Linked DNA regions of Macaca mulatta. The protein of the gene in region 1 interacts with the protein of each later gene in a pairwise test. Links are inferred from orthologs where the notes say so. Each region holds a gene or a part of one and is shown in the gene's direction. Other genes may lie near its edges. The genes, in order: NEIL2 and MEOX1.

Region 1 (3,807 bases):
CTAGGTTTTCAGATATGTTGCCATAGAGTGAATGTGTATCATGCCATTATTTTTAAATCTCTGTTTACCTGGTTATGTCTCTTTTCTCATTTACATGTTTTATATTTATTTTGCTTTGTCTCTTTTTTCTTTAATAGGCTTGCCTGAGTTTTATCTACTTTGTTGGTCTTTGAAATAAATAATATTAGCTTGCCAGGCATAGTGACTCCTGTCTGTAATCCCAGCACTTTGGGAGGCTGAGACAGGAGGATCACTTGTGCCCAGGAGTAAGAGACCAGCCTGGGCAACATAGTGAAGACCCTGTTTCTACAAAAAATAAAAATAAAATTAGGCCGGGCGCGGTGGCTCAAGCCTGTAATCCCAGTACTTTGGGAGGCCGAGGTGGGTGGATCACGAAGTCAGGAGATCGAGACCATCCTGGCTAACATGGTGAAACCCCGTCTCTACTAAAAATACAAAAAACTAGCTGGGCGTGGTGGCGGGCGCCTGTAGTCCCAGCTACTCGGAGGCTGAGGCAGGAGAATGGCGTAAACCCGGGAGGCGGAGCTTGCAGTGAGCCGAGATCGCGCCACTGCACTCCAGCCTGGGTGACACAGCGAGACTCCGTCTCAAAAAAAAAAAAATAAATAAAATAAAATAAAATAAAATTAACCAGGTATGGTGGTGCATACCTGTAGTCCCAGCTACTTGGGAGGCTGAAGTGGGAGGGTAGTTTGAGCCAGGGAGGTTGAGACTGCAGTGGGCTGTGATTGTGCCACTACACTCCAGCCTGGGCAACAGAGTGAGACCCTGTCTCCAAATAAATAAATAAATAAAATTAGCTTTATATATCCTTTCTATATGGAAAGGATATATGGAATATTGAAAATATTAGGTCAAGTGTGGTGGCTCACACCTGTAATCCCAGCACTTTAGAGGCCAAGGTAGGTGGATCACCTGAGGTCAGGAGTTTGAGACCAGCCTGGCCAACATGATGAAACCCCATCTCTACTAAAAGTACAAAAAATTAGCCAGGTATGGTGGTATACACCTGTAATCCCAGCTACTCGGGAGGCTGAGGCAGGAGAATCGCCTGAACCTAGGAGGCAGAGATTGCAGTGAGCCAAGATAGTGCCACTGCACTCCAGCCTGGTGATAAGAATGAAACTCCATCTCAAAAAAAAAATTATAAGTCAAAAATGCGTCTAATATGCCTAGCCTACCAAACATCCTGGCTTAGCCTAACCTACCTTATATGTGCTCAGAACAATTACATTAGCCTACAGTTGGGCAAAATCATCTAACACAAAGCTTGTTTTATAAAATGTTGAATATCTCATGTAATTTATTGAATACTGCACTGAAAAGAAAGGTTTTATAGGTACTCAAAGTATGGCTTTTACTGAGTGTGCATTGATTTTGTACCATTATAAAATCAAAAATTAAAAGTGAACCATTGTAAGTCAGGGATGTGTGTATGTGTGTATGATCCAACCATAGAGTGTGCTCTGACTATATCAACCTCAACATCATGGTAACGATGTGGGGATGTGTGTATGTGTGTATGATCCGACCACAGAGTGTGCTCTGACTATATCATGGTAACGATGTGGGGATGTGTGTATGTGTGTATGATCCGACCACAGAGTGTGCTCTGACTACATTGTGGTAACGATGTGGGGATGTGTGTATGATCCAGCCACAGAGTGTGCTCTGACTATATCGTGGTAACAGTGTGGGGATGTGTGTATGTGTGTATGATTCAACCATAGAGTGTGCTGTGACTATATCATGGTAACGATGTGGGGATGTGGGGATGTGTGTATGATCCGACCACAGAGTGTGCTCTGACTATGTTGTGAGAGCGATGTGTACATATGACCTGTTCTTTCTTCCCAGGTTGGTCCTGTACTTTGGTGGTGGTGGCTTCCTGGCATTTTATAATTGTCAGATGTCTTGGAGCTCTTCCCCCGTGGTCACACCCGCCTGTGACATCCTGTCTGAGAAGTTCCATCGAGGACAAGCCTTAGAAGCTCTAGGCCAGGCGCAGCCTGTCTGCTATACACTGCTGGACCAGAGATACTTCTCAGGGCTAGGTATGACTCATGGGAAAGGGGTGAGTCCACAGACTTGCTTCATGGAAAAGTCGCTCCTGTGGGAGTCACAAGACCTGAGGCCCACCCTAGTTGTGCCAGTGCTGTTGGTCTTGAGGTGCCACTTGCTTAATCTCCTTTGTTTTACTTCCCTTGTTTTTAGACTGAGGGCATTAGATCAGGCAGTTTTTAGCTTGTCTCTGGGCTTCAGAATCCACACCCTAACTGTGTTATCAGTTGTGAGCCTTCTGCCAGCAGCGCTGGAACATCGCCTCCTAAAGGGCAGGGTCATGTCTTGGGCACCTCTGTACCCTCCACAGCACAGTGCAGTGCCTGGCACACAGGAGGTGCCTGACCCGTATCTGTAGGGACTGAAGTCGTGCAGGCTACTACCAGAGGAGTGAGTGCACGTTCTAAGGGATGCTGCTCTTGGGTGGATGCACAGATGACTCAGTCTACACTGGGTTCTTACAAGACGAGTGAAGAAGAGTTTCCCTCTCTCTATTGCAGTGGCATGAGCAGTGAAACCGTGAGCGTTTCAGGATAGGGAGAAGAGAGGAACAATTTCAAAAATACATGTAACAGCTAATTAGCTGGACTATGAGAGCGTGCCATTCTTATTACCCACAGCAGGGGAATAATTGTGCCCAAAATTGGCTGCTGAAGCAATCAGGCAAGTTGGTGGTGACAGAGTCACCTCCATATCCAACATGTGGCTTTGCTGCCTGCTCACCTCCCCTCACGAGGGTCAGAGAAGGCCCGGTGGTGCACCAGGCACTAGCCTTGCATTTTCATGTTAGGACCATGGGAGTCCCTGTGCCCTCAGGAGCAAAGAGCCATCGGAAGTGGCTTTTTGGGTATATGTGGCAAGAGCTAATAAAGTAACAGTAGTAATTAATAATGGCCAGTGTTTTCCAAGCAGCTCTGATGTGCCAGGCACATGTTTTTGTCCTTAGTGCTGTTCCATAGGATGGTTATAGTGGGTTTCCCTTCCTTCAGATGAGGAAACTGAAGCAGAGAACGCATCTCTAGTACACGGTGCAGCTGAGATGTGAATCCAGGTATTCTGTCAACGAATTCTGGAGAGATCGATGTGTGTAATGAGGAGTGTGACTATGAGGCTCTTGGAAAAAGCAAGAATTTCCTTCACCTGCTCACTCCAAACACACAGACACTCACTTGACCTCTGTCACGCTCACCATCTCTCCTTAAGGAGATCATTGTTTAATGTCCCAGCAAGCACAGACTCAGTCCACTGCGAGTTAGGAAAGATTGCTATGAATGCCTGGTGGAGCTGAAAGAGTATGGTTGGAACATTCCAAAGAGAGTTACTGATTCTGGAAGGAGGGATCGAGGCTGGCTTCACAGAGAATGAGGCAGGAGTAGAAAAATCATAAGATAACACCTCCCCAAACACTTTCTACATAACGAGCATTATGCTTGGTATTTCATTTTATTTTATTTTTTGACACAGGGTCTCTCTCTGTCGCCCAGGCCGGAGTGCAGTGGCATAGACACAACCCACTGCAGCCTCAACCTCTGTGGCTCAAGCGATCCTCCCACCTCAGCCTCCTGAGTAGCTGGGACTACAGGTGCATGACACCACGTCTCACTAACTTTTAAAATTTTTGTAGAGACAGGCTCTCACTATGTTGCCCAGCTGGTCTTCAACTTGTGGGCTCAAGCGATCCTCCTGCCTCTGCCTCCCGAAGTGCTGGGATAACAGGCATGAACC
Region 2 (4,534 bases), on another chromosome or scaffold:
TACTGGACTACAACAACCTGATCACTTGTTTCAGAAGATGGCACATCTTTTCATATGCACACCCCTCCCCATCTTTTACAGCTGTTCCTGCTCCCGGGATGTGTATCTGACTGGAGTTTCTATATTAAAGGCAAGTCGTGGCTTCATTCCACATCCCTGGGTGCCCTTCCACTCTTCCTAGGAGCATCTCCTGCACCCACCCCCCAGGGCCCCACCTCCAGGCTGCAGAGCTAAGACCCAGGGGCCCCTCCTCAGGGAACCCTGGCCGTCTTCGGAAGCAGCCAGCAGAGACGCTGCTGTTAAGGCCCATGCCTGTTTCTGCTCCAATCCTGCTGCCCTGGGTTGTGGCAATAACCAGTGGGGAAGGAGTTCTGGCCCCTGGGTGTTAGGAATGTTGTCCTCCAAGAAATTGCATTAACCCTCTGAGAGACCAGCAGGGTGCAGCCATGAGAAAGACTGATTGGGCATCGAGATGGCACTTGGGCTGGCTGCCCTGTGATGTGCACCAGCCCGGAGACCCACGTGCCTGCTTGCCAAAGAGGCTCCTCTGGGGAATGAGGAGCCCCTGATTCCTATTTCCCTGCCCCAAATTCCTCGGAAGCCTCCGCCTCTAAGGGTTGAGAAAGGGAAGCAGGTGGGTGGAGGTGAAGGGGGCAGGGAGCAGGTGGGAGGAGACCCGAAGAAACTTCAAGGACCTTATTTAAGAGCCTTGCCATTGCTGTGAAGAAAAATGACTTGAAACCTCTCTAGAGAAGACTGTGGCTAATTGGCATGTAAGTTGGAGGTTAAAGAGCGGAAGGAAGAATCTGATTGTTTTTTTAAGTTACTGAGAAAGTGAGAATGTCACTCTGGGCAGAGAGAAATTCTTTTTTTCTAGAGTGTGCCTTTCTTTATACTACAGACCATAGTGGGCCGCTGAGACTTGCAAAAAAGATTTCTTTTAATCCACCTTCCTTTTTCGCAGGCAGCAGTAGAAGGGCCTTTAAATCAAATGCAATCACCAAGCTTGTCTCTTGCTTTTATTCCTCACTTCACTCCCTGGAATTTGGCATTTGACGGATTCTGGATCTGACTTAAGGCTTTTTCTAAATCCAAGACTTGGGGAATTTTGTTAGCAGTGCAATAAAAATAACTTCATAGTGTTACAGGAGGCACATTAAAGACGGTGTGTGTGTGTGTGTGTGTGTGTATGTGTGCGCGCGCGCGCGCGCGTGAGTGCTGCTTTCTTTAAAATAAAAAAAAAATACAGACAATGTTTCTTTAAAAGTCTCCATCTGCAAATCCCATTAGATGTGCATATAAGGTTTCTGATGATTAATAGTTGCCTGCTAGGGTTTTGGTTGGAGGGGATCTTGTGTGTGCGGGTTAACCCCTCCCTCTCCTCTCTCACATTTCACTTCAGAAATTTGTCACTCTCTCCCCACCGCAGGATTTAAAGTGTGTCCCAGCAGCCCTGGTCCAGCCCTCTGCAGGCATTTGCTCTGGGCTCCAGGACGAGCTCCTCCTCAGCTGGTGCTTCTGGGTTGGGACAGTGAAAATGTTTAGTGTCACTGGCGACAAATACACGTACAGGGGACCCCAGTAGGCAGGCTGGTGCATTGGAGGGGCAGGAGCAAGCCCAATATAGGTGTGTGCACACACATAGGAGTAGCTGGCCACATGTGTGTGTACTTTAAGGAGAGACTTTAGTTTAGTTTTTTTTTTTTTTTTTTTTGGTTCCTGGGGTAAATTTTCTGTTGAATATTTTTCCCTCCTATTTAATTTTTTTTCTTTTGCATTTTTAAAAATTTGAACATAAAAAGTATAAAGAATCAAATCTTTGAAAGGACTGAGGCGTGCAGCGGACAGCAGATGGATCCCCCGGCCAGCAGCTGCATGAGGAGCCTCCAGCCCCCAGCCCCTGTCTGGGGCTGCCTTCGAAACCCCCACTCAGAAGGCAATGGGGCCTCAGGGCTACCCCACTACCCGCCCACCCCGTTCTCCTTCCACCAGAAACCAGACTTCCCGGCGACAGCGACGGCAGCGTACCCCGACTTCTCAGCCTCCTGCCTGGCGGCCACCCCACACAGCCTGCCTCAGGAGGAGCGCATCTTCACTGAGCAGCACCCTGCTTTCCCACAGTCCCCCAACTGGCACTTCCCTGTCTCAGAGGCCCGGCGCAGGCCCAACTCAGGCCTGGCAGGGGGTTCCAAGGAAATGGGGACCAGCAGCCTGGGCCTGGTGGACACCACAGGAGGCCCAGGTGAGGACTACGGGGTGTTTGGGAGCACTGCCAATGAGACAGAGAAGAAATCATCCAGGCGGAGAAAGGAGAGTTCAGGTAGGTGGCTCAGGAGCAGCTGATCATTCCTTTACTGTGTGACCTTGGGGAAGTTACTCACCCTCTCTGTGCCTAGGTGCTCTGTCCATGAATTTCTGTCTAGCCTATCCAAATGCAGGAGACTGGACCAGTTACCTTTGGGGTTTCTTCCACTGAGAGTTCTAGGATTCTCTGGTGATGGGGACCGTGTCTGTGTCCCAGCACTCCTGGGCCCCAGGAAGGGTGTCCCAGCGAGAGAATGAAACAGGATCCGCAAGGATTTGGACACGTGAAATGGATCCTCTGGGTGCAGACTGGCGAGGGCTGGTGAGAGGCTTTCCTGCATCAGGCTGCCATTGAGTCATGCTCCTCCCCACCATGCTTTGGCCAGCCCCAAGTGGTGCTAGAGCCACAGGGCTCGTTTACCAGGGAAGTCAGCTGAGATTAAGGCTCTGAGAGCTAAGACTGAAGCTGGGACCCTGGGTGGCCACCCACAGCCAAGACCCTATGTGTCCAGGAGCCTAGAGGCAGAGAAGCAGGCCTGCAGCTGGATAGGAGAGTCCAGGGGTGAGGGGGAGATGGAGGACTGAGGTTTGGGGTATCACCCTGTGGAGCTGGGCCATGTCCAGGCCAAGGGGACAACTTAGCATGCTGAGATCTGGCTGAGCCCCCGGGAAGGCAGCCCCGCAAGGAACTGTGAGGGATGGGCAGCCTCCAGGAGAGTCAGGCAGCCAAGGGAGTCCGTGCTGGAGTCCCAGAGGCTGGAGGATGAGGTTGGCCTATTTGTTAAGATTCCAGCTGAAACCCTTCTCTTCCCCAGGGTGGGGACCTGCTGTTTCCTCACCTCCCCACCAGGCCCTCCCTGGTTTCTCACACTGCCTGTTCATCTTTTGTCTGGTTCCTCGTCCCGGCCTTGTTCGGAACAGGGCAGTGCCCAAGCCTCCTGCCCGCACTGCCCTGTTTTCCTCCTGACAGCTGCCCTCAGGGGCACGCCTGTCTGTCGGAGCCTGTAGACGACCTTCCCATGGGGCTAAGAAGGACAGGCCAGAAAAGAAGGGCACCAATGAACAGGTGGGAATGCTTTGTGCTTTGCTTTATCAGCACAGCTTTCCCGAGTTTCTGCTCTTAGCCAAGCCCAGGAATGCTCTGGGTGAGTAAAGGGGTCTTACCCAGAAAAGCTCAAGCTGAGAGGAAGAAGAGGCCGGCAGAGGTGTGTCAGCAGTGGGATGTGCCCTGATGGAGAGGCTTACGGTGCCATGGGATACCGACGTCAGCTCTTTTGAGTCCCACGGGTTTGGGAGATAGGGACAGCAGGTTTTATTAGTATCTCGATTCTCTCAATCTGCAAAATGAAAGACTGAAAGTTTGTGAGAACACAGAAAGAATGGGGTCAAAATAGAGTGAGCAGCTCATCTCCATTTGCCCAGGACTTTTCCAGTTTTAGCACTGAAAATCCTGTGTCCTGGGAAACCCCATGGTCCCAGGCAAACAGGAGAATTGGTCACTCTAGAAGTGAGCTCAAACCCCAGGCTTCAGGCCCCCGATGTCACACCCTTCAGTAGATTTCCAACGCAATCCTCATTTTGAAATGATGTTTGGTTTCCCTGCTTGAAGAAGCCCCTCAGTGAGCTCACAATGAGTAATAGGAACCCTAGCAGCCCTTGCGGCTGCTAAATAGAAGGGCCCTTTAAACCTCCAGCCAGTTAGATCCCCATCCCGCAAACTAACTCATCCTACCCCAGGTAGGAAATGTGCTAAGGATGAGAAGGGACTCTCAGCGACTTGACTCTGAGCTGGGTTGAAGAGCTTTCCCCTTGGTGGCGGCACCCGGCACCGTGGCTCCTTCCTCTCTGCCACTTTCCAGGGAACTGAGAGCCAAGGGCATTGAAAAGGGATAGCAAAGCCAAGAGCCTGCTGGGCTCAGGCAGAATCTTCCAGCATTCCGAGTCTCAGCAAAACCCAAATGCACCAGCTCTCTTTTTGGCAAGTGACCGATGGCCCTGCAATGCAGAGAGAGCATTCACGCTAAGCAGCTGGCCACCCAGGAGTACAGGGACACCCTCTGCTGAACGGCCTGCACACTTCAGAGTCAGACTTTGGTGGAGGGAGGTTCCCATCCGCAGAGGCCCTGGGCTTCCCTAAGGGTCCCCTCGGGAGCACCAGTAGCAGGTGAGGCAGGGCCCAGAAAGCTGACTCTCACTCATCCCTCTGTGATTCCAGACAAACTCGCTGTTC

The links.
Region 2: the proteins of NEIL2 (region 1) and MEOX1 interact in binary tests that used the Homo sapiens proteins (3 or more experiments, as listed by UniProt). The two-hybrid records come from large-scale screens. The link is inferred for Macaca mulatta from reciprocal best matches to the Homo sapiens genes NEIL2 and MEOX1.

Annotation. Positions count from the first base shown.
Region 1 is NC_133413.1:9,503,786-9,507,592, reverse strand, and holds part of NEIL2 (endonuclease 8-like 2), read left to right. Parts: intron 1-1,878; coding exon 1,879-2,075; exon of another isoform or gene 2,076-3,622; intron 3,623-3,757; exon of another isoform or gene 3,758-3,807. UniProt on the Homo sapiens protein: Involved in base excision repair of DNA damaged by oxidation or by mutagenic agents. Has DNA glycosylase activity towards 5-hydroxyuracil and other oxidized derivatives of cytosine with a preference for mismatched double-stranded DNA (DNA bubbles).
Region 2 is NC_133421.1:68,005,046-68,009,579, reverse strand, and holds the start of MEOX1 (homeobox protein MOX-1), read left to right. Parts: upstream 1-1,707; 5' UTR 1,708-1,851; coding exon 1,852-2,320; intron 2,321-2,716; exon of another isoform or gene 2,717-4,534. UniProt on the Homo sapiens protein: Mesodermal transcription factor that plays a key role in somitogenesis and is specifically required for sclerotome development. Required for maintenance of the sclerotome polarity and formation of the cranio-cervical joints.